Linked DNA regions of Caenorhabditis elegans. The protein of the gene in region 2 purifies or fractionates together with the protein of the main gene of each other region. This does not show direct contact. Each region holds a gene or a part of one and is shown on either strand. Other genes may lie near its edges.

Region 1 (10,801 bases), on a different chromosome or scaffold from region 2:
ATGCAATCTTCAAATGGAGAGCATCACCAACAAAAGCAGACGCCGTACTTCATGAATGCTCCATGCGACCCGGCTCTTCTCGCGTTGGCTCAACAAACGTTTCTAGGCTTCCAACCACAAAAGAATATGTATCAACATGGTATTTTCTTTAGCTTCTGAAGGATAAATCGAATAAAATTAAAAATTAATTTTAGGATTTCCCCCGATGCTTCCCCACAGGAACCTCATTCCGTCGCTGGCGGCCGCGATTCCCGAAATGGATAAGCTAATGTTGGAGGAGCCAATTGAGGCTGGAAGCATGCCATATCGCAGAGCCACCAACAAGAATATCTCTGTGTCCGATGACGTAGGAGAAATTTGAATTATTAAATTCAAAAAATATAAAAATCTAATATTTTTCAGTCATTCAACAACATGCATCGGTCCTCTTCCTCATCGCAATATCGCCGTCATTCCGCTCAATGGGAGACTATGACTGATGACGAACGAGAGTCGGTTCAGCGTCAGAAGCGCAAGGAAGAAGCATTCAAGACGGCACTTTGTGACGCTTTTAAGCGCTCAGGCTCCTGCCCGTACGGCGAAGCTTGCCGGTTTGCTCACGGCGAGAACGAGCTGAGGATGCCGTCGCAGCCACGTGGCAAGGCGCATCCAAAGTACAAGACGCAGCTGTGCGACAAGTTTTCCAACTTTGGACAGTGTCCCTATGGACCACGATGCCAGTTTATTCATAAGCTGAAGAAGGTTGGAACATTTGAGATTGCAGGAATTCTCATAAATGAATAAAATAGCATTATTTTCTTAGGTTTTTATATTAGGTTTTTTTGTTTAAAATCTTCAAATTCTTACTAATTTCGTCGAAATTTTGAGCTGAAATTCGTTGAAAATTGCGAAATCTTTACAAATTTTGGTTATTTTCAGTGAAAAAGATCAAAATTTGGTCATTTTCAGTTAGATTTTCAAATTTTCGTTAAAAATCATCAAATTCTAAGTAATTTCATGGAAATTTTGAGCTGAAGTCAGTTTATAATCCTCGTTTTGTGTGAAACACATTGTAACTTTCAGATTTTTCGTTAAACTGTTAAAAGTCGCGTTCAGTTCAATTTTCCACAAATTTTTCGCCATTTTCACTGAATTTTGCCCCTAGTTTTGTGGGAAATCTTGCATTTCCTAAAAATTTCATAAAAATTCGAGCTGAAATTCGTTGAAAATCGCGATTAATTCTTTTTTTTTCACAAATTTTAGGTTATTTTCACCAAAAAAGACAAAAATTTCGTCATTTCCAGTCGGATTTTTCTGATTTTTCGTTAAAAATCTTCAAATTCCTATTCATTTTATAGAAATAGAGCTGCCAAACCCATTGATTTTTTAGTGAAATTTTTCAAATGTTCTGTTTTCTCGCTATTTTTTAATTGAAAAAATCAAAATTTGAGTCATTTTCAGCGCAGATTTCCTAATTTTTCCCGAAAAATATTCAAAATCTAGTAGATTTCCATAGGAATTTTTAATTTTTAATTAAAAAAAAATTCTTGCAGGGTCTTCCACTGAGCGAGTACAACCGTGCTCTTCAAGAAGGCGAGATCTCACCGGCTCGCGACGACGAGATCACCAATCCCGACGAATCATCATCCCAAGTGGAGGATCTGAGTGAGCTTCACCATCGACAACATCAGCAGCAGCAGCAGTACCAACAACGCTATCGTCGGCCACCATTCAACAATTTCCACGATATGTCGGATAGTGGATACAGTGCTCCTCGCCGCCGGCTTCATCATCAATTCGAGCATCTTGGTAGTGAGCAGCAGCAGCAGCAGCAGCAGCAGACACCAGCTCCGAAGATTGTCTATCCATCGATGCAAGTTGTCAATATTGAAATGGCAACTGGTGACGGACCTAAAAGGTCTGACAATCATCATTATCATCATCATCATCATCAACGTCGTCATATTCCGGCACCACCATCCACCGGTCCACTGAGCTCTCTCATTGATCAGGCCGACTATGAAGCTTCTATGGCAAGCGGGAAAATGTTCGGAAAACCAGTTAGTCCGCCTTTTTCCCGGATAAAACCGTCAAGTTTTGAGAATTTTCAGGAGAACATTCGCACCTATGGAGCCATGATCCGCGCCAACGAGGAGCACGTCGAGCGTAATCAGACTGGAGTTGTCAAGAAGGAACGGGCGACGGTTCTACCGAAAAGGGTACGGCATCCCCGCTGAACAATTGCTTCTAATTATGAAAAAAACACAAAAAATGCGATTTTTCAATGCGACCAATCAGCGATTCACACCGCCCACTTTTCAACCAATCATATATAGTGGGCGGAGCTGATTGGTTTGGCAGTTCTCTTCAAAGTTTAAATATCAATTTAAATCTCTTTTTACGAATCTTTTTCATTTTTTGTAGTTTTTTTTCCGAATTTTTTAGAGAAAAACCCCCATTCTCGCTTTTTTTAGAGAAACCACCAAAAAAATCGGCAAAGAATGTAAAATTCTACTTTAAAACCAGATTTTTCAATTTTGGCGAAATTCCCTTCAAAATGAGAACTGCGACCAATCAGCGATTCGCACCGCCCACTTTTCAACCAATCAGATGTAGTGGGCGGTGCTCGAAGACGCTGATTGGTTTTGCAGTTCCTTTTTGTGGTTTTTAATGAATTTATACTATTTTTGGATTAAAAAAAGAAGCAAAATTCCCGTTCTAGCTATTTTTCAGGGAAACCACGAAAAAAAATGAAAATTATTTTTTAAAAACCCGATTTTTTTAAATTTTGGCGAAATTCCTTCCAAAATGAGAACTGCGACCAATCAGCGATTCGCTCCGCCCACTTTTCAACCAATCACAAAAAGTGGGCGGAGCTCGAGGACGCTGATTGGTTTAGCAGTTCCATTTTGAATTTTAGAGAAAATCCCCCATTCTCGCTGTTCTTTCCAAAAAAAACCACAAAAAAATCCCTGAACAATGAAAAATCTACTTCAAATAAACTCCGCCCATTTCATTTGATTGGTTGAAAAATGGGCGGTGCGAATCGCTGATTGGTCCCCCTCCATACAAATTTTGTTTCAGGATCTTTCACTGATTCGCGAGGAGGATACACTGCTCGTCGACGGTTCTCATCTGAATATGACGTCATCGGCGATTCTGCCAGCTCATCAAATCCCTTCCACCACGACCACCAGCACATCATCTCCAGTCCAAGAACAGCCGTGGTACGAGAAGATTTTCGGGAAAATGACAATGATCCAAGAGGAATCATCGATGGGCGGTGAAGACGACGATGCTCACGAAGATCATTATTCGAGATAATCTGGATTCCTCCGTCCACCCCCTACCTACCTACCTAAAAATCTGCCAAATTCTCACAAATTGTCCCAGTCCAAAATCTCTTACAACAAGAACAAAAAATCCCCTCCAAATTTTCATGTCATATCATAATTTTCCCCCCACACCACCAAAAAAATGTCCATATTTTGTATTTTTGTGTCCCACCCCCCGGCCAATCTGAGCCATATTTATTTTGATAATGATTGTAAAAAGTTATTTTGTGATCTCTACCGTTTCCCCCCAAACATTCCCCATTTCTCTATCTCTCTCTCTAGTCTATCTCACTCTCTCTATCGGTGTCTCGCCACGATACCCACCGACCCAGAACGCCAAGAACAAATATGAAGAGATTTGAATTTTTATTCAAAAACAAAAAAATACTCAAAATCAATCAATAATCCACAGACCAAACTTCACTGTTCCACTTGCAACGGACAATGTTCCGCCCGTATTTTTTGATCATTTCCTCGGCGATTGCCACGTAGTCCGCGCGGCATTTCTCCGAATTCGCGCCTTTCTGCGATTTCCAGGCGGCATATTTTTTCCTGCCGACCTCGTCACCGGCGGGAACTGCTGAAAAATATAGAATGTTAGATTTTGGATTATTTTCCATTCGAGACCCTTACGATACACATCCTCATTTGGAATGTCCCCATGGAGAGCCTGTTTGTACAATGCGTAGAGTTTCAGCCGCTCTCGATCGGTTGGCTCGGACTTGAGCCGACGCATCTCCTCGGCGGCAATTTCAAAAGTTAGCCCGGTCCATTTCTGAGGGAATTGGGAATTTGATTGTTATTATTGAATCCTCGAAAAATTCGGTGGAGCGCGCTTGCATCTTTTACTATTATGGGGCGTAAACGGCCGCGAATCATGGGTCTCGTTATTACGGGACCATGAGATCATGAGAATGCCTATTACTGGCGCGAAAATATTGGCAGGCCGCGGCAGCGAGAGAGCATATGGCGAAGAGAGACGCAGGTCCCTTCGCTACGAGATATTTGCCGCCAGAGAAGTAGGCATTCTCATGATCTCATGGTCCCGTAATAGGTATTTGGTGAAAAATTTCGAACGTTTTCGAGAATTTTGCAGCGTTCTCAAAAACTACGGAATATATAGGAAAAATGTTTGAATTTACGATTTTACCGCCAAATTTGGACGCCATACCTAAACAAGACCCATAATTCGGGGGCGGAGCGTTTCAAATTAGCCGCCGAGCGCGTTTTCACGTCGATTTCATTTTTCTGGATTTAACAAAATCAGTGTTCTGGGCTTCCTCAATGCATTTTTCGCGCTCCATTGACAATCGTCAACGCGTGGAAAAGTGTCGTGTACTCAACACGGACAAATACATTTATTTTTACAACTAAAACCGAGCCGCGACGCGACACGCAACGCGCCGTAAATCTACCCCAGATATGGCCGAGGCAAAATGGCCTAGTTCGGCCTAAAATCTTCCATTTCAATTTACGAGGGAATTCCCTCCCTAGGGAAGCCAGAAATCCGTGACTACGGAAAAAAAGTTCAAATTCACGATTTTACCGCCAAATACCTAACGAGACCCATGGTTCGAAGGCGGAGCGTTTTAAATTTGCCGTGGAGCGCGTTTTCACATTGGAATGAGCGTCTCATTGAAGCGAACTTGCTGACCAGACTGAAATTGAAAATTAGCTCACCTTTTCGAGCTCGGAAATCGGCATTTTTGGAGGCGATAGAATTATTGTTGGCTCCCGCGGAGCACACACGCTTTTATACCCCCTAATTGGCTAAAATATTCGCGAATTTTCGAGGGAAATTGCCTGAAATTTGAGTGGAGGCCCTATATGAGATGTGTGTTCGATGAATATGTAATTTGAGAAAAATAATTGTTTATTTTGTGAGAAATATAATTATTTAAATTCGTTAAATAAGTTTCATGAAAGTTTTTACAGTAGAAAAGCTAAAAAATCGATATATTATGGATTTTTGAAGGCATTCAACGGTGAAAAATTGAAATTTAGTGAGTTTTTGGAAAAAAATTTGGGTGAGAATTTGTATAATTTTTGAGTAAAATAAAAAGTGGGGGAAATTAATAATTTTTATCCGTTGGTGTGTCGTTGCAGTCGCGTAGGGGGTTCCTTGCCAGTTGTTTCTCTGAAATTTCAAAAAAATTATTTAGTTTTTGACTGGCAACGAGCTCGTACGCGTCAAAAAAATACGATGAGAACAAAAAAAAACAAGGAGAGGGGTATGCGCCTTTAAGATAAGGATACGGTAACGGGGGGGAGGTCACTGGTCTCGACACGACAGTTTACTGCGAAAAGGTGTGCGCCTTTAAAGAGTACTGTAGTTCTCAATTTCACGTGTTTAAAATCGTTTTTTCATAGTTTTACAAAAAAAACATTTGGAAATTCGTCAGCAATCTAATTTGTAAACTACAGTACTATTTAAAGGCGCACAACGTTTTTTTCCCATTAAACAAACATTTGTCGTTAACGTTTCGAGACCAAAAAGTCGCGAAATTTAGTACCTGAGTAATAATAAACTAGGAAAACCTTGACTAACTACCGTATCAGAATTTAAAGGTGCATGTTTCATAAAGAAGCGTCTAGATAATACATTTTTGAAGTTGAAAACCCCCTAATTTTTTAAAAATTTACAGTTTTTCCAAGTGATAGGTAATTTTGCATGACGTGATGATGATGATTCAGAAAATAAACCGCAAATGATAAGAAATTATCAATAAATGTTAGCAAAAGTGATTACGGTATTCCGAATACTAAAAAAACAAATTTTTTTCCTAAATTTTTTAATTTTCCCAAAACCATAGCCAAAGTTGTAATTATTTTTGAATTCCCGCTTCACCGAATAATTCAGACATTTTTCCGCAAACATTGCGATTTTTAGGTAAATTTTCGAATTTCAGCGAAATTTCTCATGGTTATCCAGGCTTTTTTTACGAGAAAATACCAGAAAGTTTGAAAAAATTGAAAAACTAAACAATTTTTGCGGGTAAAATCCGGGAAATCGAATTTTGAAAAATCTGAAAACGAAATCTTACCAAAAACAGAAATTATCCCAATTTCTTAGATCAAAAATCTAAAAAATCTGGCGAACTCGTGTGATCTCTTTATTATTTGAAACTCGCCGCGATTTTCAGATTCCAAATCTTCTCCCATTTCTATTAAATTTTGCTCCGACATTGCAACAAAAAACACACAAAAACAAGTATTCATATATATTTTTAATATTTTATTAAGCATTTTTTTCCAATATTTTTAATTTTAATGTTTTTTTGGGGGTTTTTTTCGTTTCGTCTAACTTGTTCTTCTCATTTGTTATATTATTTTACGAAGTGACCGTATCGTTTTACTATTTCATATGAAGTTTGGAGATGGTTTAGGGTGTGTGGATTGGTGGAAAATGGTGTGAAAATCAGAAAATATAGATTTTTCAAGTTTAAAATCAAATTTTGAAGCGAAAATTGCAAATTTTCCGTAGGAATTTCAAATTTTCCCACCACTTCCGGAGGAGTTATGTGAAAATTCGAAAAACAGCTGAAAATCTGAGAAAAATGTTGTATTAAAGTATATTTTATAGCGAAAATTTCGAATTTTCCCACCATTTTCACCTATCGACACGTCTAGAAAGGGGACTTTCAAAATGAAAATTGTACTGTTCAGCGCAAATTAGCGAGAGCATTGTTGGGGGAGGAATTTCGCCCGTAAACTAACACACCCGTATTCAGGGGAAAGATTGGCGAGGGGGGTTGATAGGGGGAAAGGGGGGAGGCGTTCTTTAAAACTCTGGCGGCACCGCTTTTGAAAAACAAAATAATAGAAACACAAGAAAAACGACAGGGAAATATATGACGGCTAAACAGTCTAAAATAGAGTAAATTTGGCGTGTTCGTGAAGTGGGAATTTGGCCGGCAATACTTCAGACATCCTCTTCTTCCCATTATTTACAGTACATTAGGAAGAAGAAAACGGAAAATTGCAAAAACGGGCAAAAACGACCACCACAGCAGCTGAAGACGTTGACTAAAATGACGGATTTTGAAGATTTTTGCAGAGAAACAAAATGGCCGAAGATCTCAATAAAAGTAGCTTCTTCCATAGAATCCGGCCGCCATCTCCTCCTCCTCATCATCCTCATCATCCTCGTACACCACCTCCTGTTCTAAATATGCCGAAAGCACCGCGTGATACAACACGGGCCGTTGACGTTCATAGGATTCGCGCAGCGATCTGGCTTTTGACGTCACCTCCTCGCACTGAAAAATTAATGAATTAATTTCGTGATTTTTTTAGAATTTCAATAGAATTTTGAGTATATATGGTGGGGATTATATATGCAAGACAATTTCAATTTTAAGGCAGAGTTTCGAGTTTCAACGTGGGGAATAGCTCGAAAATGCTGAAAAAAACCTCGATTTTAGCTAAGTTTGCTAGAAAAAATCTACGGAAATCTATTTTAAATCGCGAAATCTTTTTAAAAAATCTTGAAAATGCGAAAAATTGCTCAGAAACTATGGTAAAACCAACGATATTTGTGGAAAATTGATCTAAATTAGTTTTTTGAACAAATATTCACAAATCTCATTGGTTTACCAAACAGTTTCTGAGCAAATTTTTCGTTTTTTTGTACATTTTAAACAGATTTCGCGATTTCAAAAGGGTTTAAGTGGATTTTTGGTAGAAAAAATAGCTAAAACCTAGGTTTTCCACAGTTTTTGAGCTATTTCCATTGCTGAAATCGTCGTCTGCTCTAGCAAAAAATACGGGGCTTATCTGTTGATTTTTATGTGTATTTCTGTGTAATAACACGCATCTATCCAGGGTTTTTGGTATAAGGAATCTGAAAATTGTGATTTTCGATAGGTGTTTTAGTGTAATTCAGGTACTTACAGGGCCACACTGTTTGCTTCCCATTTTCTCTCACTCTGCCTAAACTTTCTGGAGGGCCAATGTCTGTAGGATATCGAAATAGTTTTTGTTTTCAAACTCCAAATTGTAATTTTCCCAATTTTACAAGGCTAGAAAGTGCTAAGAACTAGAAAATTGGGCAAAAACCCACAAAAATTATGTATTTTGGTGTAATATTCCAGTTTTCAACACTTTTAAGCTAGATATTCGGTCCTTCAACTCACCAAAATAGCGACTTGGCTGTTGCCCGCGAGCAACTCTTCCCTTTCTCTTTGAAAACGCTCAACTCGGGCCTTGCTCTCCGCTAACCGTTGTTGGTATTTTTTGTCGATCTGTAGAGAATTTAAATATTATTTTTCGCGAATTTTCCAGAATCTCCGCTAAGCAGAAATATCAGAAAAACTTTAACCACCTTTAATTTGACGAGCCGCAACTTCGACGCCGCTGAAGAGGTGCTAGTGGCGAACCGCTTCGCGTATTTTTTACCGACTGGAATGTGGATGAATTGAGCATTTTTGAGTTGGGGATCCTTTTTGATATCTTACCATTGAAGAGCTTGCGCGCCGTCGATCTGCGGAAGGTTGCGGATTTCTTAGTTTTCGAGAGTCTGCGGACTCTTCTCGCGGAGCCAGTTGAGGAGGAGGAGGTGGAAGAGGTTGGTGAGGTGGCTCCAGAGGTTCTTGGTGACACTGAGGAAGAGGTGGACGGGATCGTCGAGCAATGATTATCCGCGTACTCCACCACAATTTCGTAGACTTGTGCTGACGACATCTGGCTTCTCAGTAGCTGTAATTTCGGATTAGATGATTGGGGGGTTTTCGGGAAATCCCCCAGAAAACGAGGTATAAAAATCGTTGGAAACGAGTTCAAAAATAAGAATATACAAAGAAAAACAAGACGGTAATAACAATTATTTAACTTTTTTTTTATTATTTTGAAAAATTTTCAATTTTTTGAGGTTTTCTCATAACAACTTATACAAGTGAATAACATAACGGGGTGGGGTGGAGGTGAGACAAAAGAAGAAAAAAAAACATTTGGTAAAAAAAAGAGTACGACGATCGATTTTTTTTGGGCATTTTCCACTTTTAAATTTTTTTTTGGAGAGTATTGGGGGGTCCAAACGAATCCGATAGTCGCGCACTGTACAATTTTTCGTAGTTTTGTTGGGGGGGTGTATACTGTAGTTAGATACAATTTCCGAACAGAGATTCTACAAAAAGATCAAAACTAACCACTGTTTCTTCGGCGATAGGCCCTGCCTCATCACACAGGTGACTCCCAGGCGTGGCGTTTGGCTTGAGAAATAGAGGCGATATCTAGAAGAAAAAGAATGACAATAAGGGGTGATAAGTACTAATACTACTACTTGAAGCTCGGCTTTTGGGCGCTGAAAATTCGAAGAAAATCGCTGGAAAAATTGATTAAATGATTAATTTTCTCTCGGCTCAAAAACCCAACTCCTGCAAATAAGTAGAGGTGGAAAATGGGGAATGCTTTGAATTCCTACACGTGTGAATTTGGGGGGCTTGATAAAAGCTTGATAAATCTGCTTGCTTCTCAATAACTGCTTCTCGGGTCGTTCAAATAGCTATCGAAAGCGGAAAAGTCGCCGCCAAACAGCTCATTTCCGCCGAGATCCTCGACAAGTCGATCGGTGAACTTGCTATCCATTCTCATTTGATTGTTATCCGCACACTGCTTGCACACCTCGACAGTGGTTCCAAGTGCTCCGACATGAACACAAACTCCCGCACGTGCTCCTGGAGCCGATTGAGCCGAGCCCATTGTGGCGACGACGCGAGCGATCTGAGAGTCCTGGTCGATGACCTTCTTGAGCTGAGTGATCTCATCGGAAGCTTTGGCAAGAGCCTTCTTCATCTTGGCGTTCTCCTCGCGAGCAAGGCGAAGTTCGGCTTCAAGCTCAGAGTTGTGCATTTGAAGTGTCGACATCTCGTTCTTCTTCTGCTCACGGTAGTTTCTCGCGTAGTTCGCCATCTTCGAGTTGCTCGTCACTTTTGAGGGGCGTCCGCGTTTTGATGATGGTGACTGAAAAATTAAGAATTAGACACTTTTTTCAATATTTAAAATGTATTTTTTTAAAGGGTCAGGGGTCCTAGAAATGGGTTATTCAATACGAAATACCCATGTATCATTCATTCAAACTTAGTTACTTCGTCTCTATAGACCATATGCGTACTGTATCCACGAGATCTGCTATTACACGGCTCCTGAAATGTTGGCTAATAAGTTGGTTGTTATAGATTTATGGGGGACTGTGGGAACTTACCCTTGCAGGGAGATGAGAGATTTTTATTGACTTTTGGCTTCATACTTTTGAAAAATGAAAAATCAATAAAAACCTCTGCTCCCTGTGTGAAATTTTAAATAAAAAATTAAATAGCTTACCTTAACAAGTGGACCGCTGGAATATGGGTTAAAGTATGGATTTTGAGTACGTCTGGCAGTTGACATCTTCAATGGCTTGTGCTCCTGCATGTATGGTGATGGTGAGGCTGGATTCTCGGATTCTGAAGGTGACATTAGCCAAGATGGCTCCAACTTTGGCTCCTCCA
Region 2 (10,941 bases):
ATACTAACCGAGAACCCCCTTGAAATTAAAACAATTGATAATCTAGATTAATTGAGTTGATTTCAAATTAAAATTTTCACAAAAAAAGTTCAAAAAACTTGACGAAATCCTCCGCGCACTTGATTAAAAATTTCGATTAAAATTTAATTAGCTATGTTTTTTCCTTGGGCAACGCACAGTACACACACACAATCATAATGACAATCTCCGTAAATAAATTTCTCGAAACCAACCAAAAAAGTACTCACCAAAAGCAGTCTGGATACGTGTTTCATTGCGAAAATCGCTTCACTCACTCAGGAGGTGGGGGGAGACAAGAAAGTCAGCAGAGGTAGGCAAAGTCAGCCTTTTATGGCATGGAGCTTTTGGCCAGTGTCCACGTACCGTAGCCACACCTCCTTCAGGTTCGAAATCCCATTTCTTCGTCACTGGACACCCAGGCTTCTTCTTCTTTTTTCTTCTCCAACACTCTACGTCTCCTCGTCCAAAAAACCAGAGCGTTCGGCTTCGGGTTCAATGGGCCGGTAACATCTGCGTCTCTCCATCAGCCTGTGATGTTTCGAAGGTGATAATGCAACACTATTGATATGGGGGGGGGAGAGGATTGTGTTGTTTATATCATAATGATCATAAAACCCGCCGGTGTGGGGCACCCCGCTGAGGGCTTGTAAATCACACAATCAGCTTATCGCTCTTCCTGGTTACACTGTTTCGCAAATTAGAGGAATCAAGGTTGCCCAGCTTTTGCCAAATGTTTCCTTTTTCCATTTTTTTTGTTGTTGTAAGTTTTTTTGCAAAATTTCAAAACGTTGCCATGTGCTCAGTCATTCCCCAAAAATTATTGCTAAACTTTTAAAGATTGTAAAGACAAGCAGTTTCCAAAGTCTGCCAGTAAGTTGCAAGTCACAGTAAGTTGTCAAACTCTGGCAGAATCTTGTCAAATTTTAACAAAAAGTTACCGTACTTTTGCAGATAATTGCCAAACTTCGGTATAAGGTTGTCAAATGTTGGCTTATTTTTTGGCAGCCTTCATCTGAGGCTAGTACAATAGAACGCGCTTTTCCTAATTTTGTTTTCAAATTCATATTGAAATTTGGTAAAACTGACCTACCGACATGCCTACCTATTCCATCTTTAGCCGACTTGATCAGATGTCATTAGGTGTCATTAGACAGAAGTTCAAGGCGGCTTGTTGCACCGCCCCACAATTTCCGGGTTACAAGACTCACACTATTTAACATAGGAGTGTCTTGTCAGGTCGCCTTGAAGGCAGGCAGTCAAGTGCCTACTTAATTTCACAGAATATGCCTGGTTTAAAAGCTCTACAGTCTGAACTTCCTTAAACTGGGTCTCGAAGGCATCAGTAATACACTTAAAAGTTCCTATTTGCTCTAGGAGCCGCCAAGTTTCCAGGAGCCCAAGTCTTTTCCCATTCCCAGCATCTTACTCATTATCCCAGCCTCACCCAGTTTCGCATCGAATAATCATATCTCTTTTCCTATATCTCCTCCTTTCCCTCTCTTCTACCTACATTTGCCATTTGCATCCACAATGATTACGTAACCCGAATCGTACAAGCGTCTCGCATATGTAGTTTTTGGTGTGGTGTAGCTTCCTGCGCGCGCGCGGAGAAATGGCAAACTCAAAAAGTCTCGTACCGTAACAAGTTTTAATTGGAACAGAACGAAAGAGAGACATACACGTCTTTCATTTTTTCTCCTGATGTCACCCACCTCCTCCAGACAATCTTACGCAATTTTTAACACTGGTGATCCAGGGATGCCTAGGCTGTGTGAGGATGATTGATTCGGCCACAATGATCGAGATGTTTCAAAAAAAAGGGAATTGAAGTTTCAATTGAAACTTGATGTACATTTCGTCTATATGCTATTGTTGCAAATAAAAGAATAAACGAACTGTGTTAATATTCGGGATTTTAGAGAAAAAAGTTGTTGGTAGGGTAGGAAAATGGCAAGCTAGCAAACTTGATTGTAGATTTTGGGAGTTAGATGTGTTTAGGAAGGAGAAGATCAGAAGATCTGCAGTGGGGATGTTTTGGGGATGTCCCTTCTCGTCCTCATCGATTTTTGGAAGCTGATAAGCTGATTCCGGCGTTCCCCTTAAACTGAAGCTTCAAACCTGAATCTGATTGCGAATAATATTAGGTCCTACAATGACTTCTCGATGGCAGAATTAATTTTCCAATCACGAGCGCTTCGGTTTTAAAATCAGGCTTTAGCTTAGACTTACTATTAGGCTTAGGCTTCAGCTTGGGCTTTGGATAAGGCTTAAGTGCAGGCTTAGGCTTAGGCTTAGGCTTAGCTTGGGCTTAGGCTTAGGCTTAGGCTTAGCTTGGGCTTAGGCTTAGGTAAAGTTCAGACTATTGTAGTTGAAACTGTTTTTTCTCGTCAGAAATACGTTTTTGAATAATCAGAAAAACCTCCTCGATGAGCAGTAAATTTATTTTTTCAATTAAACAAAAAATTACAAAAAAAACCAAAGTAGTGGCACTTAAACATACTAATAATATTCAATGTAATCAATAATCCCTCTGCCATCATTCTCATCCTTCAGGATCTTATAAAGTGGATGCTCTAAACATGTCTTCAGCACCGGTCCATTGCTCAATTCTATGGACTTGACAGGTGTGATTCCTTCTCTGGAAGAATGTGATTTTAGACTTGTTGAGCTTTAGAGAAGTTCTACTTAAAACATTTCGAAATAATCGAGTTTTCAGCTATGGCTCCAAATCCTCGATTTCTATATTGTGGTAGTGTGTACAAATGAGCTAACTGTCCATGCAATCCTACCATTATAAAGGTAATCGGTTTATCCTTGTGGAATATACAGGCGGTTGGGAGGCGTTGTATCTTCTCCCTAGCAAACTTTTTTTTCATAAAACCGAATCATTTCGATTTCACTCACAGTTTTTCAGAAAACTAGTCAGAAAAAGCTTACCGGTTTCGCGAGTTCAGTACTCGCTGCAAGAACTTGTATGTTTCTAAAATCAGGTTCCAAGTGTTTGATTTTTTCCAGACCACAGATGACGTCATCCTCGTTGATCATAGTTTGACCGCTTCCTATTAGAGTCGGTCTGTGTACAAAATTATTCACTAGACTTCAAAGCAATCATGCAGTTTCTGGCCTTGGTGCCTGCCTGAGATTTTGGCGCGAACTCTAGTGTTTGTGCACGGCAGCTTTATACATACATTACCAATTTTCCGTTTGCAGGTAATTTGAACGGGATCTTAACATTTATTTTGACAGGAAGTGTAGTTGAGGGTACGAGTCCGCCAGGCCTAACATGCCCTAATCGGAGTTTGGCGCCAGCATCTTGCTAAAGTTTGGACCAGAAGTTGAAAAAGCTTGTGCAAAAATTAAGCAAGACTTTGGAAAGACTTAGTTTAGGGTCAACTCAAGCTCAACCCTCTAAACATTGGGGTCGCCGAAACCAAGGCTTGCCTAACTTTTGCCCAAGTTTTGCAACTTCTGATCTAATAGTAAGGTATTATTATTCGTGTCAAACTTGGGAAAAGCTGGTGCCAAATGTCGAGTATAATAAAACTTTACACGTTTATTCTATTAGCTCTTCAGGGATGGCTTGTGATAGTTACACTATTGTCAGGATTACTGTAAGATTCTCTAACTGCAACATTATAGGTAATGAGGCCAACGTTCCTTCCATAAAATCCCAGAAAAGCCATAAATCTTACCTACAACTATCTGGAAGGTGATCATGGCGGAAGCAATAAAAGTACTTTGCATTTTCTTCAGATTTCTGATAGCTGTAGAAATCACACGGATGATTGGGCAGACGTTTTTCGATTTCGAATTTTGCTGCGTTGGCAAATAATGCAAATTTTGGATGGGAATTGAAAAAAGGGACAAAATCTTTTAACTTGTTAACGGAAAGTTTTGCGAACATGGTAGAAATGAACAGTGGGTGATAAGAAAACGGTTGATAGTTGACACTAAAACCTAGATAACTATTTATCGCAGTTCAAAAAGTTTAAGAATTGTTTTCTCCGTGTACCTCTTTGTACCAATGGCGTAAGCAGTTTGGTATCGGCGCCGCACATCCTGACTTTCAGGAACATTTTCAAAAAATGCTGTTACTTTTGTTTTTGTTACACAATAAATATAAGTCAACCTATAAAATATTCCTTCAAAAATTAAAAGAAAAACAACCAACAATATATTCTATTTGTTTTAGATAATCAATTTCAATAATACTCAATATAATCGAAAATCACTTTGTCTCCATTCTCATCCTTCACGATTTCCCAGAGTGGATGCTCTAAACTTCTTTTCAGTACCGGCTCATTGCTCAACTCCACCGATTTGACAGGTGTGATCCCTTCTCTGGAATAATTTAATTTAGATACTATACTAGTTAACTTATTATCTAAATACGTTTTGCTTATCTTGCCCGTGTTTCTTCCCGGATGGCAAATTTTCCACTACTACTTTTTTCAAATTTAATTTCTATGTATGAGGTTTTCTCATTTCATATTCACTTTTCTTTCACAATTTTTTTCTTTTTTGAAGGCGTTTACTGGGCGTCCAGGGCGCCTTGTCCCTACTAACACCTACCATCCAATAAAATTTTTAATTTTTACCTAAAACATTTCGAAACAATTGAATTCTCAATGATCGCTCCAAATCCTCGATTTCTGTATCCTGGCATTGTGTATTGGTGCGATAACTGCCCATGTAATCCTATCATTTCAAACGCAATCGGTTTTTCCTCGTGGAATATACAGGCGGTCGGAAGGCGTTGTATCTTCTCCCTAGCAAACATTTACAAACGAATTATTTCGATTTCACTCACTTTTGTTGCAAAATGTCTTCCGGGGTGGCAAATTTCCACGTGGAATTCACGATTTCGGCATCTTCGAGTCGAGTGGAACCAATTGAAAAGGAGACAGGAAGAGTGATTCCATCGACTTTTTCTTGAATTTCAGGGCAAACAGTGATAGGTAGGTAGAAGTTGTTACAGGGAACATTATAGTTCTCACGGATATTACAGCAGGTTGTAAGATACTTGTTGGCCTGAATAAAAAAAGGATCAAAAGAAAAATAGTCTATCAAAAGCGTTAAAAATGGTAGTATCGGCTGAGGTTTTTGTTTAAATAAGCTCAAAAAACCCTAAAAAATTGAATTTCATAACGAGAAATCTCAAAAAAAAAACTTTTTTATGCCGATTCAAACCCCCCCCCCCCCCCCCTCAATTTTAATTTGATGTTTACAAACTTAACTAGACTGTATATTTATTTAAATTTTAAAAAAATCCTAAAAATAAATTGTTACCAATTTCGCGAGTTCCGTACTAGCTACAAGAAGAATAATGTTTTCAAACTCAGGTTCCGAGTTTTTGATTTGTTCCAGACCACAGATGACGTCATCCCCGTTGACCGTGGTTTGAACGCTTCCTATCATTAGAATTGGCCTGTGTACAAAAGCATTGGCAAACCTCTCCCCCTCAAGCCTAATAAATCTTACCGACAACTATCTGGAAGGCGATTATGGCGGAAGCAATAGAAGTACTTTGCATTTTCTTCGGATTTCTGATAGCTGTAGAAATCACACGGATGATTGGGTAGACGTTTTTCGATTTCGAATTTCACAGCGTTGGCAAATAATGCAAATTTTGGATGGGAAGTAAAGAAAGGGAGAAGATCTCTCAGCTGGTGGACGGACAGTTTTGCAAACATGGCAGAAATGAACGAGACAATGGGTGATAAGAAAACCTTGATAAACTGATAATATGAACCATAAATTATCTATCGATTTTCAAAGAGTTGTGGTTTGTATCTCTGCGTCTGGGTTGCAAATGAATGGGAAATGATAGGGTAGACTTGAAACAAGATAGATCAAACAATCATATATTCTTTATTGATGTATTCGAAAATTAGCAAATAGTCACACTGCAATAATAATGCGTTATTTGAAATTTACGAGTATCAATTTGCAGTTAGTGTACTTTTTCCTACTTTTTGCAGTTTAGCTCTCAAAGCTATCAAAATTAAATTCAGGTAAAAAAAAGGTTTTTGGTAAACTGGTTCATATACTAATTTTAGATTAACAATCTGAAAATGTCTGAGTATCCAAAATTGAAGAGCGGCGGCTGAATGCGATCTTTTCCAATTTTTCGATAATTTTACCTCAATTTCCTAGATATCAAATGGAAAATTAGAATAAACAATAGTTATATGACATACCAAATCCAATGCAAGTATTAGTTTCTCGTGAAAAAAAATGAAAAAGTCTCAAATCCGAATGTCAATTCTACCGAAAAAAGAAATCTGAAAACGGCTGAAATCCCAGAAATCACTGGAAGTCACAGCACATTCCAGTTCGTTTGAAACCAATTTTTTTTATTATTCATAAAGCACATTATATGAATATCCAAACAAAAAATCAATAAAAATAAAACTAGAGGTTCAAAATATCAGATCAGAATGATAAGACTTAAGTTTCCAATAATAGAAAAATTAGTTTTCAGTGTATTTCGCGAATACCTTGTGATCGAAGAGCGTACTTTGAGTATGGAACTCTTTAGAAAACCTAGTATGTGCCTTTGAAATAAAATCACAAATATTTAAAATTCATAATTCCGTCGTAACTTCCTTCTTCAGCGGTTTCTCTTCGATGATATTATCTAGTTTTGAGGGCTTGTTGAGACGAACACTGAATACCACCTGAAAATGAAAATGTATGAGAATAAAATAAAAATTATATTTGAAGATTAAAAAAAAAGAAGTCAGTAGAATTTTCAGATTTCAGAACTTGATAACTTTTGATTTTCCATACGTTCGAATTTCTGTCAAATTTGAGGATTTTTATGAGCTTCCGAAATTTTTGGAGTTTGAAATTTTGCAGTCAAAGGTTTGGTAAATTCTAAAGTTTTCTTGGCCGTTTTGAGAAATGGGGAGTATTCTTGCAGGAACATTTAAAATATTAAATACGGAAAAGTTTACAAAACTTGGAAAAAAACTATAGTAAAAAACCCTACCTTGTGCTGAATATCCCAATATACACAGCATCCGTGATAAAAGATCACCATGAAAACGTCCAAATATTCCACTAGTGCAAATAGTTCATACGCTGAAATAATTTTTTTTTTCTCATATCAAATTCATATATTAAAGTACCCCATGTAAAACAAGCTTTCCAATACAGGGCATAAAAGGTGGCAATTGCAGGTGCTGAGAGGAAGTAGCAAATGCTGATGACAATCTTCACATGATAAGATATTCGACCCTGATAATAGAGATTTGTAGTGTTTTTTTGGAAAAATTGAAAAAAGTTACATAGGGATTCAGAAAGTAAAGAGATTGGGAGTGGCAGACAGTATTGGAGATGAAAAATAGAAGTGCGACAACTCCGAAACTGTAGAAGAAGCATACATGCCAAACTGAAAATGTTCATGGTTGGGGGGACTGTGGAGGGCGAGTGGAGGCACCACCGGGTGAGACCAACCGAAAAACGGACGATGCCGTAATAAAGAGTTAATTATTTTAAGTTTCGCAAAACCTACTACGGTTCACCTAGGAGAATTTATGAGGTCAGTGACAATAACTTTTTCAGACTTTGATTTTCAGATTTTCAGTGAGGCTCTGCAAAAACGAATTTGAAACTTTCTCAGTTTAGGAGCTCAACATCTCGGGCACCTAGAGCTGAGAGCTGAGTATTACCAGAATTTTTCCTGGCCCTCAAAATCTCTTTAATTTTTCTCCAATAAAAACTTAAACTCACTGCCATGCTCTTTCTCTCCAATAGCTGACAATCCGCTGAGCAGAATGAGCTCAGTGACACCAAAAACCAAATATAAATGTCTATGCATTTTATACCACAGACGATGAGTATTCGCTCGGCTCTCCAATCGGCCATATCTTACCCCTGCAATTGTTTTATTGTCAGCTTGAAAATATTTATTTCGAATTTCTACGTTTCTTTTAATTGGAAGTTTTCCGTTAAAAATACATTTTCTTTTCCCAAAAAAAAATCAACTCACACCCCACTGACAGCTCAAGCAATCTGAAGGGAATATGAAAAAATATGCATAGTTGCCAGACGAGTCCTTCGAGAGTTAGGTTGATGATTCTTGACAGTGATGGTAGAAAAGCTCTCTGAAAACTTAAATTGCAGTAGGCAGGCAGTAGGAAGGCAGTAGGCAAGCAGTAGGCAAGCAGTAGGCAGGCAGTAGGCAAGCGGTGGGCAGTCAGAAGGCAGGCTGTAGGGAAATGCACTTGACGAAAATAGCTTACCCCACAGATCCATGCGTAATTTGTGATTTTATCTTGATGTAGTATAATGGCAGTGAGAATCGCAAAAACTGCGGCAAACAACGGAGGAACAAATCCAACCCAGAAGAGGAGTGTTGTGTTTAATTGGAATAATTCCTTCAAAAAATTAAATTTTGATCTCTAGATAATTGAAAAGAAAACTCACAACCGCTTGAGGTCTCTTTTTGTGAACACTCTCGAAACGTTTTTCCATCAACATTTTTGCCTGAATCTCTGTTCCTCAAGAGGATGGACAACAAGTAGTAAGAAAGTAGGACAAGCTTAATGATGCCGACGATGAGAAATGAAAGACGGGTTTGACTTGTTCCATATTGGGGAAAAACAGAGGAGGAGTGGATTCAAAGATTACTACAAATGTTTCCAAATTGACTCATTCATTTGGTGTAAAAGTTATTGCTAAATGTAGTACGGGGTGTCAACACCCTGATATTATTATAAATGTAAACATTTCACGGGGAAAGAAGCTATAATTTGGGAAATGTGCAGCCGACAAATTCCTGGTTCACAATAGTCATCATCAGAAGCTGTCGCAGGCAGGCAGTAGGCAGGCACTGTCTCGCCATGTGCACATAATGTTACAGGGCTCCAACCCTCCAATTTAGTCTCCTCTCCCTCTTTACATGAATATGTTCACTTGTCAAAAACCGTCCTAAATCAAAAAAAGTTGAATATCCGGATATCCGTACTCGTCCCTCCCGATTCCTCGTGCTTCGTGTTGTTGTCTTTCGCGATCAGGAAATGAAGAATGAGCAGGAAATTGTAGGGCTTTTGTTGGCTTGGGCGGAGCCAAACACGCGATTGCTCACGGACTACAAAATGTTCCAAGATACTTGTTTACGACGGGTTTACTCATTCTTAATGGATTTTTGCTTTAATTTCTGGACACTGTGTGGAGGCGTAACGAGGGTACCACATCTCTTGCTCTCTTCACGCCTTCTTAAAAAATGCAGGTATCTTGCCTACTGCCTGCCTATTGCCTTCCTAGTGCCTGGTTACTGTCGGCCTACTGCCTGCCTACTGCCCACCTACTGCCTTCCTACTGCATGCCTACTGTCTTCCATTTTATTTAACAATTCAGTAGCTCTGTGAGCTTCTCACCCCTTTCTTGAATTCGTTCCTGATCAGTTGTTTTCTTGAATTCTTTTGAAATCCCATCATCATCTACAGGTTTCTCGTAACTTTGTTTTGTTTGTTCATAAAAATCCCTTTTCAATGTTTTCTTCTCCAAGAGTTTTCTTTCGCAACGGATTATGGGAATGTCTATGAGATTTGGAAAATCAAAAATTGTACTTGTCTGGCAACTGATCATATGACAAAGACAGAGAAAAGTGTATGTATATGTGGTTTTTTTAAAATTTAATTGAATTTCATAATTTCTGACCACTTTTTTCTTTGTTTTTCGTAGCAAGTTACTAAAATAATACAAGAAAAAGTTGCGAATATGCCAAAAAAACCAATATATGGGCGAGTCCAATTTTGCAAAAATAGCAAAGTTGAAGGATTTCGTCAAGTATGACCCATTTATGCGGAAAGCCACAAACACCCTGTTGTAGAGGCAGGCGAGTGATAAGGCTGGAAAGCGCCCCACGCCTCAACAATTTGAAATATTTTTGCCTCGAAAATTCCCCAAATTTGCTTCTTCCATTCAAAAAAAAAAGTTCGCAACTTTTTGAAAAAAAAAGTTCATGTCCATAAAAAATAATATATCACCGCTCCCAAGTTGGCTCGAAAATCCGTCTCAAACTTTTTTTTCTTGTTGTTTAGAAACCACAAAAACAAAGTGTCAAATCCATCCATTTTCCTTCGGAATCACGCTCGATTAGTGCCGGCTTCACCGAGAAGCCTTTTTTGGAATTTTTTTGTTAAATTTTCGGCTGCTCAGATTTTCATCTCTTTAACACTTTATTAAACCAAAATTAAAAATTAAAAAGGCAAGAATTCAATTTTAAAACTTGAAAAAATCTGTAATTTTAAATCAAAATATTACATTTCTCAATCTCCTTCCCCCTTCAAATTGCTCTCAAATCGAAACGACACCAAAAAAAGTGAAAACGAATAAAGAAGAGAGTTTTATGGATTCTACACATTCTCTATTTCTCTTTTACTTTCTTCGCTTACACTTTTTCTTAGAAAATGATCTTTGTGAAGTAAGTAAAACAGCAATTAGTTTAATTAGTGTGCCAACCTATTTTTGGTATTTTTAAAAAGAATTCTAGTTTTGAAAAAAAAAAATTTGAATTATTTATCTGGATATAACATATTTGGATTTGGTTTTGGTGACGTAAAAGTCGAAAAAAATTGAATATATTGTTTGAGTAATTGTGCTCCTCTAGGACAACTTATTTCCTTTTTTTCAAACATTACATGCAGACACATCTCTAGGTTTGCCTGCATGCCACTAGCTCTGTATGGTTTTGGTTAATCGTAGGTGGTCTTGAAGGTAGGCCTAGTCCTCCTTAAAAGTAGACGTAGGTCGCCTTGAAGACATAATCGTCTTCTTCTATTAGACCTCTTTGACTGGCCCTCATTCTGTGCGATTTTTCATCTCGTCCAAGAAATATCGAACAAAATATTTACACCTTCTGATTTTCCGTATCGAGAAGAATTGTTATGACAACTCGTAGTAGCCAAT
Region 3 (10,491 bases), about 10 Mb from region 2:
GGTTCACGTGGTTTTATAATGTTTTCTCGGAGAGAAAAATGCACATAAAATTAAATATTCATGATGAATCAGGGAAGGAATCACAGTTTCTCGAGGGAAATTATGGATTTTTTATTTAAAAAGTGGGTCCTAACGATCAGTTTGTATCAACTCGAAAATCAAAATTAATTTATCAGAATCAGACGAGAAAATATAAAATAATTATATACATTGCATTTACATGAAAAATAAGCAAAAAAATGACTAGAAAGGTCCAAAATCACAACTATATATATATATATATATAAATAGAAAATATGTCACTTTTTTTATGATTGGCGGTTGTAAATGGGGCAAGCAAAGACTGGAAATTTTAGATAGCTTTGTAGACAATGTACAAAAACATGAAGGAAAGTAGAAAAGTGACAATTAAAAGGAGTAATCTATTCTGAATTGCTCGACGAATCATCGAGCTTAACGTCTTGTTGGCTCTTCCCAAGTCGGCGTTTGATTGGCGCAGGCGATCACGGGAACGACCGATTGTTTCACGTTGACTCGCAAGGTTGGAGAGCATTTCGGCGCCGATCTGGAATTAATTTAGCACATTTTGAAGAGAATTGAAGGGTCGAAGAGACTCTACCTGCTCCGTCTCAACAGCAATCCGATGTGCATCTTGAACTTTCCGCGTAGACCTCTCCAATCTCTGAGTATTTGCTATCAGTTGATCCTCCTGCCTATGCTCATCTAATTGATCATCAAATGCCAATAATTCATCCCGATCAGCTTCTTCTCTGACTCTTTTTATAGCTTTTTCCAGCTCTGTGTCCAATTGTTTCTTGTCACTTTGATAGCTTCGAACACGAAGTTCGTATTTTGTGCGTTCAGTTCTGAAAAGTACTGAATTTTGCAGCCCTGCGGCGCAGTTTTTTTTTCTCTTTTTGCAAATTTTATGTTAATTACAATTTTAATCAAAGCAAAAAAACTAACGTATTCGACTCCAACTCCCTAACAACCAGCTCCATCTGATCCAGCAAATCATTCACTTCTTCCAAACTTTTTCGAATTTCCTGAACTGCTCCGGCTCGATCGGACGATGGCAGAGTGTGCACGCGGCCGATTTTCGAGGTGATTTCCGCAGTTTGAAGCGAATATTGCTTTTCGAATCCACTGAGCTGCTCAACTGTTGCCGATTGGTTCGACATCTGGAAGCTCTGGTGGTAGGTAATTAGTAATTAATGAAAGCAAATTTTAAAATAAAAGGTATTGAAGGTATAATGATTGCCTTTCGGAAAAACGGAAAGAAATAAATCGATATTTTCAATTCAATTCAAAAGTTTAAAAACACAAAAAAAAGTAACAAAACAAAAGAGAAACGATAATCTAAGCTAATTATAGAATGTCTAGAAAATGAATAATTAGGCACGATAATGTGCATATGCCCGATTCGCTTCACAAGTCTTGTGCAATTCCTGTTTCGCTTGAATCGTTGATCCTTCGTTTTGACTGGCGGCGAGAAGCTCGGTCGCGAGGATGTCTCTGGAATTAAATAAATTATAATTTAAAAATAGAAATTAACCCACTTGAAATGTGTCTCTCCATGTTTCGATCGAACTCTACAAATATCTCTCATCATTTTCATTGCTCGAAACTCGGCTTCTGGTTCTTCAATTGGAAATGGAACCTGATAGGTGGTTCCTCCTCGGGTTACACCTTGAAGCTTCATGAGAGGATGACAATTCTGAATTTATTTTTAATTAACCAGTCAATAAAATATAAATTCTCACTTTAATTCCCTTTTTCGCAACAAGAAATGGGTCTAATTCGATACTTTTCTTCTCTTCTTCGGAAGCCTTTGCCCATGCCTTGTACTGCCGGCGCTTGATGATTTCCAACGCGCTGAGCACATTCTTGCGAGAAGTCTCCTTTTCCCCGTCTTTTGTGCACACTCGAATTAGTTTGTCGATCTTTAAAATAGTATTTGATTTTAAAAAAATATTCAAAGCATTGCAAGTTTACCACATGATCTCTGTAAAATACTGGTGTCGCATCACTTTTCATCGCTTTGAGGAACAAAAAGTTGCGCTCATCATCCGAATCCAATGGTTTTCGGAGCTAAAATAATAGTTAAGATTTATAGATTAAAACAAACAAATTAACCTCTTGAACATTCGTTACGGGATCTCTGAATACTCTTGGATCGTACATATTTGATGTGGAAGTCGTCGAAGAAATCCATCGTTTTTGAGCGAATCGCGCCAGTTTTGTGGTCATATTTACTACAAATAACAATATTAAGTATTTGATAATTAAATTGCAAATCATGAAGCTTTGAAAACTGCAAAAATATGCGAAGAAAACTCGGAAATCAATGGAAAATCCGTGGACTCGCTCGTATTTCGACACAAGAGTGCAGTGGAGCATGCTTGCATACTCTGCGTCTCGTCTTTTTGCATAGTCTATCGTCTCAATAAACTGGGCGCGCATGCATTTCGGAGTATTGTTGCTAGACATTTATCACTTTTTGTTTTTTTCCTGTTTTCATCGGCTTTTTTCTGAATAATAATAATACAGTTTAAATAAATTAAAATTCCTTTTTCTTATTTATGACACCTTCCTTTAGCTTTTAAAATAAACCTGGTTTATTTCGTGAAGAGAAATCCTTTTCATGTCATAAACGATTTTATTTCTTGCTTCTTTTTCAGTATTTCCGCTCACTCAGCCCCCGCTCATTCCGTGGAGAATATCAATGTGTCTCGTTAACGAATTCGTATCGAATAGCAATGTAAAATCTCGTTTCAAATGTATTTATTCTTTATAAAACAAAATTATTTTCAGATGAAGCCGGCGCTCAACGTTTCTGGCGACGAAAAGGAGCTCATCCTTCAGCTGCGTCGTTATCTCGAGGAAAAGCTCACCTATCTTCTAGATCAAAATGGTACAGTCAGTATTGGAGTTTCCGGTGGATCGATGCCACGAGTCTTTTCGAAAGCTATTCTCTCTTTGCCACAAGAGCAGCTGAATTGGAAGAGGATTCGAATTTTTATGGTTGATGAGCGTAACGTTGATCTGGATAGCGAGGAAAGTAATCAGGGAGAATATTTGAGATTATTCCCGAATGAGCTCAGAGACGTTTTTGTGCCCATGCAAATTTTCAAGGATCCCTGCCTCACCGCCCAACACTATGAAATCAGTCTTCGTAAATACTTGCTCCCGGAGCAGCTCAACAATACTGCTCGTTTCGATATTCTTTTCCTTGGAGTTGGTCCAGATGGTCACACTGCAAGTATCTTCCCTGGAAAGGAGCGGCTGGAGAAGATTACCGAGCTAAATTGGGTTTCCGTCATCACAGACTCCCCGAAACCTCCACCATCTCGTATCACACTTACTTTGCAAACTCTTCAACACGCCAAAAACGTTGCTTTCATCATTTGCGGGAAACAAAAAGCGGAAATTGTACGAGGAATTTGTGATCGTGATCAAAAGTATCCGGCCGCTCAAGCACGTCCATTCAACGACAAATTGACACTATTCCTCGATGAAGACGCAGCAACTGGTGTACCGGATAGAGATTCGTCGGATTCTGACTCTCCTCCACCGTTTGACGGATGAGCAGCATCTTGTGTGATATTAAAATATATACCTAATTTCTTTTTTTTTTCTCTGTAATTTTCTCTTATTTTTTTCATTAAGTCGCATTCCTCCTTATTCCTTTAATTATGGCCATCATCAAAGAGAAACAAAAAACCACAAAAAAAAATTCAAATCGTCGTGAAAGTTTTAAATTGTTTCCGGATTTCCTCCAACTGTAAAATAAAATTGCAATTTTTGAATTTATGAAATTCAATTTTCTAAAATATTGTAAACGGTTCATTACCGTGAATTACTTTTTTTAGATGCGGAACTTCAAAAAACTACAGGATCGATCGGGGAATTTGCTCGTTTTATTCTCTTTTTCGAATGAAAATGCGATCCAATTTCAATCTCTTATAGAGTAAAAAATCGTGCCGCAAGGTTGCAAAATTACGCCCCGCCTCTATTTCTGTGCGACGTTGTTTTTTGCAAAATTCATGGATTGAAATATGTCAAAATTACTGAAATATAAGGATTATTCTAGATATTTATGCCTCTTATCATTGTTACCGGTCATCCATCGTCTGGAAAATCTACAGTTGTTGATAGATTAGCGAAGAAATTCGAGGAAAAAGGTAAAAATTGTGTATTTTCTGCTTTAAAATTTCTTAAAATTCCCATCATTCCAGGCAAAGACTATTTGATAATACGGGACGAAGATTACGGAGGATTTGATCGAAAAAACTACGAATTTTCGAATAAAGAGAAGGATCTCCGATCTTGGATTCGATCTCAAGTTCAACAGAATCTAACGAAGAATAAAGTTATAATATGTGATGCTTTGAATTATATCAAAGGATATCGATATGAATTATTCTTAGCCGCTAAGATGAGCAAAACCACGTATTGTGTCGTCGAGTGCTCGCCTCCCGTCGCCACGTGTCACTGGCTCAATGAGCAGAAGCCTGAAGTGGAGAGATATCCGAAGGAGATTATCGATCAGTTGATGATGAGATATGAAAGGCCGGATACGAAGTTGAGATGGGAAAAACCATTGTTTGAGGTTAAAATTGGTACTGCTGAGAAGTGAGATTGGAAAATTAATTGGAAAAAAAAATAATAATTGTTTCCTATTCCAGAGCCACGCCTGTAGACTTCGATGAGGATATGGCGATAGACTTGGAGCATCCTGCTCCGAGATTTGCGAGCATTTTTGAAGATGAAATTGTTGAATGGATTTGTAATGTAAGTGAATCCTAAATTATCGAATAGAAAAATAATTAGTTTTCCAGGGAACAGAGCTCACAGAAAACCAATCAACACAGACAGTCCCACTGGCGCCGACAAATTTTCTTCACGAGCTGGATCGATCCACACAAGACGTTGTTACAGTGCTTTTAAATGCTCAAAGAACTGCAGTTCGCGGTCAAAACCTGACGATTCCTGGAGCAACAGACGGAGCCAATACGATAAAGTTTATGAAATTGAGAACGCTGCCTGAGCTGAATCGACTGCGACACCAATTTGTGAACATGTCGAAGAAGGATCCGACAACTGATAAGGAGAAGATTATCACGGGATTTGTCGATTTTTTGAATTGCAATTTGAGATGATTGTTTTGTTGTTTGTTATGACTTTATTTGAAAATGCAGAAAAATAAAAATCCAAAGTTTTATCATGTATAGGCTTGTGAGTAGACGGTGAGCTGAAAACAAAATTCCGATTCATTTTAAATTTTGTAAATTTAATTACCAAGGCTTCCAGCTCAGGAATCGCTCGAACTGCACTCAATTTATATGGATTTGTATTACAGAATGTGATTGATGGGAAGTTCGACTCTACCATTCCAATCTACAATTCTTTGGCTTCAATAAAATAATAAAGATTTAAAAAAAAAAGCGATTTAAGAAATTTACATTCAGATTCACCAATTTTTGAAACGAAAAGTATTGGCGAACGGTGACGGTGATAAGGTAGACGAACAAAACGGCGCTGATAATGAGCAAGGTTGTCCAGAGAAGGATCGTTGGCCACTGGAATCATGGAATCTCTGAATTTGAAGAAATATTTGAACCTATTACTTACTGAAAGAGATTGAGCCATGTGAGGGATTCCATGCCACGAACAAGACAATCCCCACTCGTGTACAGCACTTTTTGTTTTTCTGAATCCGAAAATCTATGGAAAAAGCTAGAAATTTAGAGTTTTTTTTATCTTACGACCATCTCGTTTCATCGACTGGTTTATCTTTCCATTGATCATTTTCAATGTCTTTAATGATTTCTTTGAATTCTCCATCTGAATCGGAAAAGTCCAAATCACTGTCGATAATCGAACTTTTTCGCTGCCGAACTTCAGACATAAGATGTGAAACAAAAATTGAGAAGAAAATTTACAAAACACTGAGCTTGTGCTCTTTTATTCTAACAAACACTGGCTTCAAGCCTACTTTTTTAAATTTTAGATGAAGAAAATGGAGAAGTGCTCGGATTTCGGAAAGAAATATGAACAATCAAACGGGGGAATGGAGCATAAATAATTTAACAAGAAATGATTACAGGAATAAGGGGATGGTGTAGGTAATTATAATTACATCTGGTTACTTGTTAGCGTTGTTGGATTCGTTATTAGCTTGGTATGATGGACGTGGTTTCGTGTTGAAGAAACGACGAGGTGGCAGAGTGGTGGTTGTGGTGGTGGTGGAGTTGGAGGATCGAGCACGTGGAGCATTGATCGATGAGCACATGCGATTTCCAATTTCCTGGGCCTTGCTGATGTCTTCTGGACGTCCGAAAAGATGGGAATTGGCGATACGGACGCGGTTCATGAGCTCGTACATGTGCATCATATGGAATACATCATCCATTTTTCTGAAATTAAATTAGATTTTAAATATATTTTCTCAGTTTTACAACTAACTGCATTGAGCTATGATTGTTGTTGGAATGCTCAATAAAGCTTCTCATCATCGCACACTTTGGATTGTAACAGTCGTTCTTTGACTCATGGTGGCTTGGGCTGTTGCCTGGCAGACGATAACCGTATGGAAGCAGGTCTGTAACAAACGTAATGTATATTTTTAAGTTTTTATTTGGGAATTTTCGAAAAAGTATTATCATAATTATTATAGAACACGAAATGGGTGATTGATAGACACATGAAGGATACAGGTAGATACAGGAAAATTATATATATATAGGAGAATTTTAAAAATACTAACTCTGGAACGGATGCCCATAGTCGCCGGATCCTGGAGATGTGGCTGAGCCGCGAGGTTGGTAGGTACCATTCATATTGGCAAGAATGAGCAATTGTTGACGCTTCAGCTCGTCGTTACCGTCAGTCTGAAAACTTTTATTATTGGTGGATAAAAGCGATATTTTTATTATTTTTCACTCACTGGTACATCAAGAATTGCTTGAATGTGACCGACGCCACCTTTCAAGAGTTTTGCAGCTTGCGGCATATCTGCTGGAACAGAAATTTGCACTCTCAATGGACCTGTAGTGACATCGGGATTCGAGCTTGATCCATCTCTCTTGGTTCTTCCGAGGATTGTGATGCGGCAACCAGTTGTCACTTCGAGCTGCTTTGCAGTTGTTCCACGTGGTCCAAGAAGTCTTCCAACGAAGTTGTAATCGGGAAACTTTTCTACTGGAACCATGATAGTCTCCGTGAGCATCGAACCATCGCCACTCATTTGTGAGCCACCATCATGAGCATCGTTTCCTCCGACTTTCTGAATCTCCTTGTCGATCAAGTTGAAGACATGGTTGAAGCCGCCGCTAGAGTATTGAGCCAGCTGATGCTTCTCGCCTTTCAGCGCATCGATGTAGGCTTCGACATCGTGCAGATTCTTCGACATCTCCTGATCCGAGTGGTTTGAAGTGGATTTCAGCGACTTTTGAGAGTCATCCGACGGTGGCGGAGTCAGAAGAGACGAGTGTTGATGCTTTTCGGCGAGGCGGAGAAGTTGAATGCCGTCCGTAAGCGAATCGGCAGAAGAACTCATTGTCAGGCAGAAGATGACTCTGAAATTAAAAAAAAACATTAAAAATTAACAAAAAAAAATAGAAAAAAAACTCACACGACTGAACGAAAAACGTTTTAAAACTGAACTTTTCCGGGAAGGTCATCGGATCAAAGACGGGCGGATGGATGACGTGGCAAGCTCACGTGGAAACACCACATCAGCCGCTGCGTGAACTTTTGCTCTCATTTATTAAAAAATATATTTAATATTAAAAATATTTTTCACTTCACGTGAGCTGTCGTTCTTTTTTCTCAGTGTGTGAAGTGAAACTTCGGCGTAAATTGAAAATGAAGTGAAAATTCCTACGTGAAGTTAAAAATCCTCCATAAAATGAAACTCCTGAATAGACTTGCGCACCTTTTGCATAGAATTCTGCACCACCTGCATAGAATTTCGCAACTCGTGCATAAACTTTCGCTGATGCGTAAGCCGAGAACGCAAAAAATAAAAATAAATCTGAACTGAATGTTCTTTCAACAGAAAAAAATCGCAGAAAATAGCAAAAATGCAAGTGCGCTCTATAACAAATTTCCATTCGAAGAGACAGTGATGATTTATTCATAATTACATGGTAAATTGCAAGAGGGGGCACCTGTTTTATAAGATTAATGGCAAGGGGGAGGGATGCGAAATAAATATTTTACATGATAGCGGGGTAAGTATGAAATGTTAGTTGGGGGAAAGATCAATCAATCAATCAAGGGGCGGCGTGGAATCGTGGCGAGCGTCTCTGTGTGCTGGTAAGTGGAGTGGATGACGACGACGGCGAGGATGATGTGGAGGATGATGTGGAGGATGATGGCGTGGAAGGGTCCGGTTGCGGAGACCATCGTGGCGAGCGTTTCGGATTCGCTGACAGGCCTGCATCGCGACCAGCCCTGCGTCTTGCTGACGCTTCTCGTGCATTAGCTCGAACGACCTGAATAATTGAAGCAATTAGGTTCCAATCATAAATTGAATACGTTTATAACATACCTCCTTCGCTGCATCATTTAATTCCTCCCATCGTTTCTTGTCGCTCAACCTCTTCTTCTCTCGTTTTTCGGCTTCCTTCGCCCTTTTCACAGCATCAGAAGGCTTGGCCTTCTTCGGCCCACTTCCTTTCCTCGAAGCTCTGTTGGCGTTGCTTTTCGCATTTTCCTCCTTTTTCTTGCTCGGAGACATCTTCTTGTACGATTCCTTTGCGGCGATGGCTCTCTTTGACAGATCGTAAAGCTGGGCTGGTTGGGATCGCATCTTGTTCTGGAAGAAGACAATGAAGAGAAATCACAATTACCGGGGCTTTTCAAGTAGTTCGTAAAATCAAAGTGTATTTCAAGATGCTCGTTGCCTTATAAATTTAAAAACATGTATTTAAATAAAGTTTGTGACGTTATTTTGCCACATTTCTCGGAAAAATCGTGATCAAATATTTATTCAAAACACTTACCGTTGTTAGGAAAAACAATTTGAATCCAAAAATATAGCAGGAAAAATCAAGGGAGGGCAACCACCAGTCGCCCAGAATAAAAGACAGAATGTCTAACTGTCGAGGTGTGGGGACGTCGTCGAATTAAATGCACAATACGCAAAGGTACGCAAACACCGATGTGTACCGTACTCCGAAATGTTTTTAATTTCCATGTTTTAAACTAGGAAATCGACAAAAATGAGAGTTTTAAGCACAAAAACAGAGCTTTTGAAGCAAAAAATTATTAAACAATACAGATGACATATGCTCCTAGAAAATACCAGAATGAAGGTGTTTTTGAGGAAAAAAAATTTAGGCCAAAATTTTTTTTTAAACAACAGTATTTTCGAGGAATCAGAGAAGTTCCCGATTTTCCAACAAGTTGAATCTGTAGAAGACTTAAGAATACTCTCGAAAAAAGTAGCTCTACAGAAGTATTTTAGGCCAACGGAAGGTTCAAATTCACAACAAAAGTCAATGTGGAATAGATTTCTTGTAGAAACTGAACAATAGGAACAGAAAATAACTTAATGACTTATTCTGTAGTAGTTCCAATCTTTATGAACACATTTTCAAGTACTAGATATCTTCCAATCGAGAAAAAAATCTGGATAGGTTCGGTTTTCTTTTACGTCGTCAAGTGTCCTGATATAAGCTTTCAATGTGTTTATTGGATCACGAAATTCTCGTGAGAGCTCTTGTCAGCATAAGCGCACATCAGCATAAGCATATTCAAAACGTGAGCATAAGCATATTTCAAAGGTTTCAGCATAGGATAGTTGGCAATGAGATTTTGCAATAAAATGTGTCCAACTAGAATGTTGTTGGCGATAGTGTCAAAAACATTTGGTTTTTTAGGTTTCAATGTTTTTTTTTTCGATTTATGAAAAAAAAAATCCAAAGGGTACCCCTTACAAAAATTTTCTAAATTTTTTTTTGAAAACTTTTTTTGAAAACTTTTCAAAATTTGATCAGATGTTATAGAAAAATGCAATGTTTGTTGTTTATCTAGTTTAGATGTTCTGAACACGAATTCAGACTAAAACCTGATGTATAGTAGAACCTCAAAATTCAAAAAACGCACTCACTTCGGATGCTGATATCTCCGTGTAATAATTTTTTATGACAAAGTGATCAACTACAAAGTTGTTTATCTTAATATAAAGTACAATTTTGCAGTTCATCGTTTTTTATCAAAAAATTGGTTGGATGAGATATGAATAGAAAAAGAAGAAGAAAATACAAGCATGAAGGTGCCGAACTTTACACAACTTTATCTCGACCAGCAATTTTTTTGGTGAAAAACAATCAACTACAAAGTTGTACTTTAGATTAAGATAAATAACTTTGTGGTTGATCACTTTGTCATAAAAATTTTTCCACGGAGATATCAGCATCCGAAGTGAGTGCGTTTTTTGAGCTTAGGGGTTCTACTATACCTCAGGTTTTCGTCTGCAAT

The links.
Region 1: the proteins of ZK185.3 (region 2) and acbp-6 fractionate together in Caenorhabditis elegans (co-fractionation; one large-scale study listed by BioGRID). This does not show direct contact.
Region 3: the proteins of ZK185.3 (region 2) and Y57G11C.43 fractionate together in Caenorhabditis elegans (co-fractionation; one large-scale study listed by BioGRID). This does not show direct contact.

What each region holds. Positions count from the first base shown.
Region 1 is NC_003280.10:11,968,649-11,979,449, forward strand, and holds acbp-6 (ACB domain-containing protein), read right to left. Parts: upstream 5,085-10,801; 5' UTR 5,019-5,084; coding exon 4,995-5,018; intron 4,090-4,994; coding exon 3,948-4,089; intron 3,895-3,947; coding exon 3,713-3,894; 3' UTR 3,665-3,712; downstream 1-3,664. Other genes in the region: mex-1 (C3H1-type domain-containing protein), read left to right, coding at 1-139, 195-346, 403-741, 1,533-2,039, 2,082-2,198, 3,064-3,303; Y17G7B.21 (Regulator of rDNA transcription 14), read right to left, coding at 7,394-7,573, 8,450-8,557, 8,638-8,714, 8,771-8,996; nosr-1 (BZIP domain-containing protein), read right to left, coding at 9,786-10,274, 10,635-10,801.
Region 2 is NC_003282.8:4,524,614-4,535,554, forward strand, and holds ZK185.3 (Glycine N-acyltransferase-like protein), read right to left. Parts: upstream 5,820-10,941; 5' UTR 5,715-5,819; coding exon 5,503-5,714; intron 5,450-5,502; coding exon 5,311-5,449; intron 5,053-5,310; coding exon 4,832-5,052; intron 4,791-4,831; coding exon 4,620-4,790; intron 4,363-4,619; coding exon 4,224-4,362; 3' UTR 4,146-4,223; downstream 1-4,145. Other genes in the region: ZK180.6 (Prion-like-(Q/N-rich)-domain-bearing protein), read right to left, coding at 249-275; ZK185.4 (Frag1/DRAM/Sfk1), read right to left, coding at 6,609-6,701, 7,016-7,107, 7,155-7,263, 7,314-7,417, 7,759-7,902, 8,018-8,132, 8,271-8,405, 8,455-8,508.
Region 3 is NC_003282.8:14,765,476-14,775,966, forward strand, and holds Y57G11C.43 (Protein KTI12 homolog), read left to right. Parts: upstream 1-3,965; 5' UTR 3,966-4,099; coding exon 4,100-4,184; intron 4,185-4,238; coding exon 4,239-4,635; intron 4,636-4,688; coding exon 4,689-4,794; intron 4,795-4,841; coding exon 4,842-5,162; 3' UTR 5,163-5,224; downstream 5,225-10,491. Other genes in the region: vti-1 (t-SNARE coiled-coil homology domain-containing protein), read right to left, coding at 353-565, 620-866, 967-1,181; mrps-7 (Small ribosomal subunit protein uS7m), read right to left, coding at 1,395-1,515, 1,560-1,717, 1,764-1,943, 1,996-2,091, 2,137-2,250; Y57G11C.3 (Putative 6-phosphogluconolactonase), read left to right, coding at 2,726-2,761, 2,815-3,588; degl-1 (DEgenerin Like), read right to left, coding at 5,225-5,254, 5,302-5,400, 5,466-5,582, 5,635-5,713, 5,769-5,911; Y57G11C.36 (K Homology domain-containing protein), read right to left, coding at 6,149-6,419, 6,469-6,604, 6,770-6,893, 6,950-7,561; Y57G11C.51 (DUF3362 domain-containing protein), read right to left, coding at 8,280-8,501, 8,558-8,818.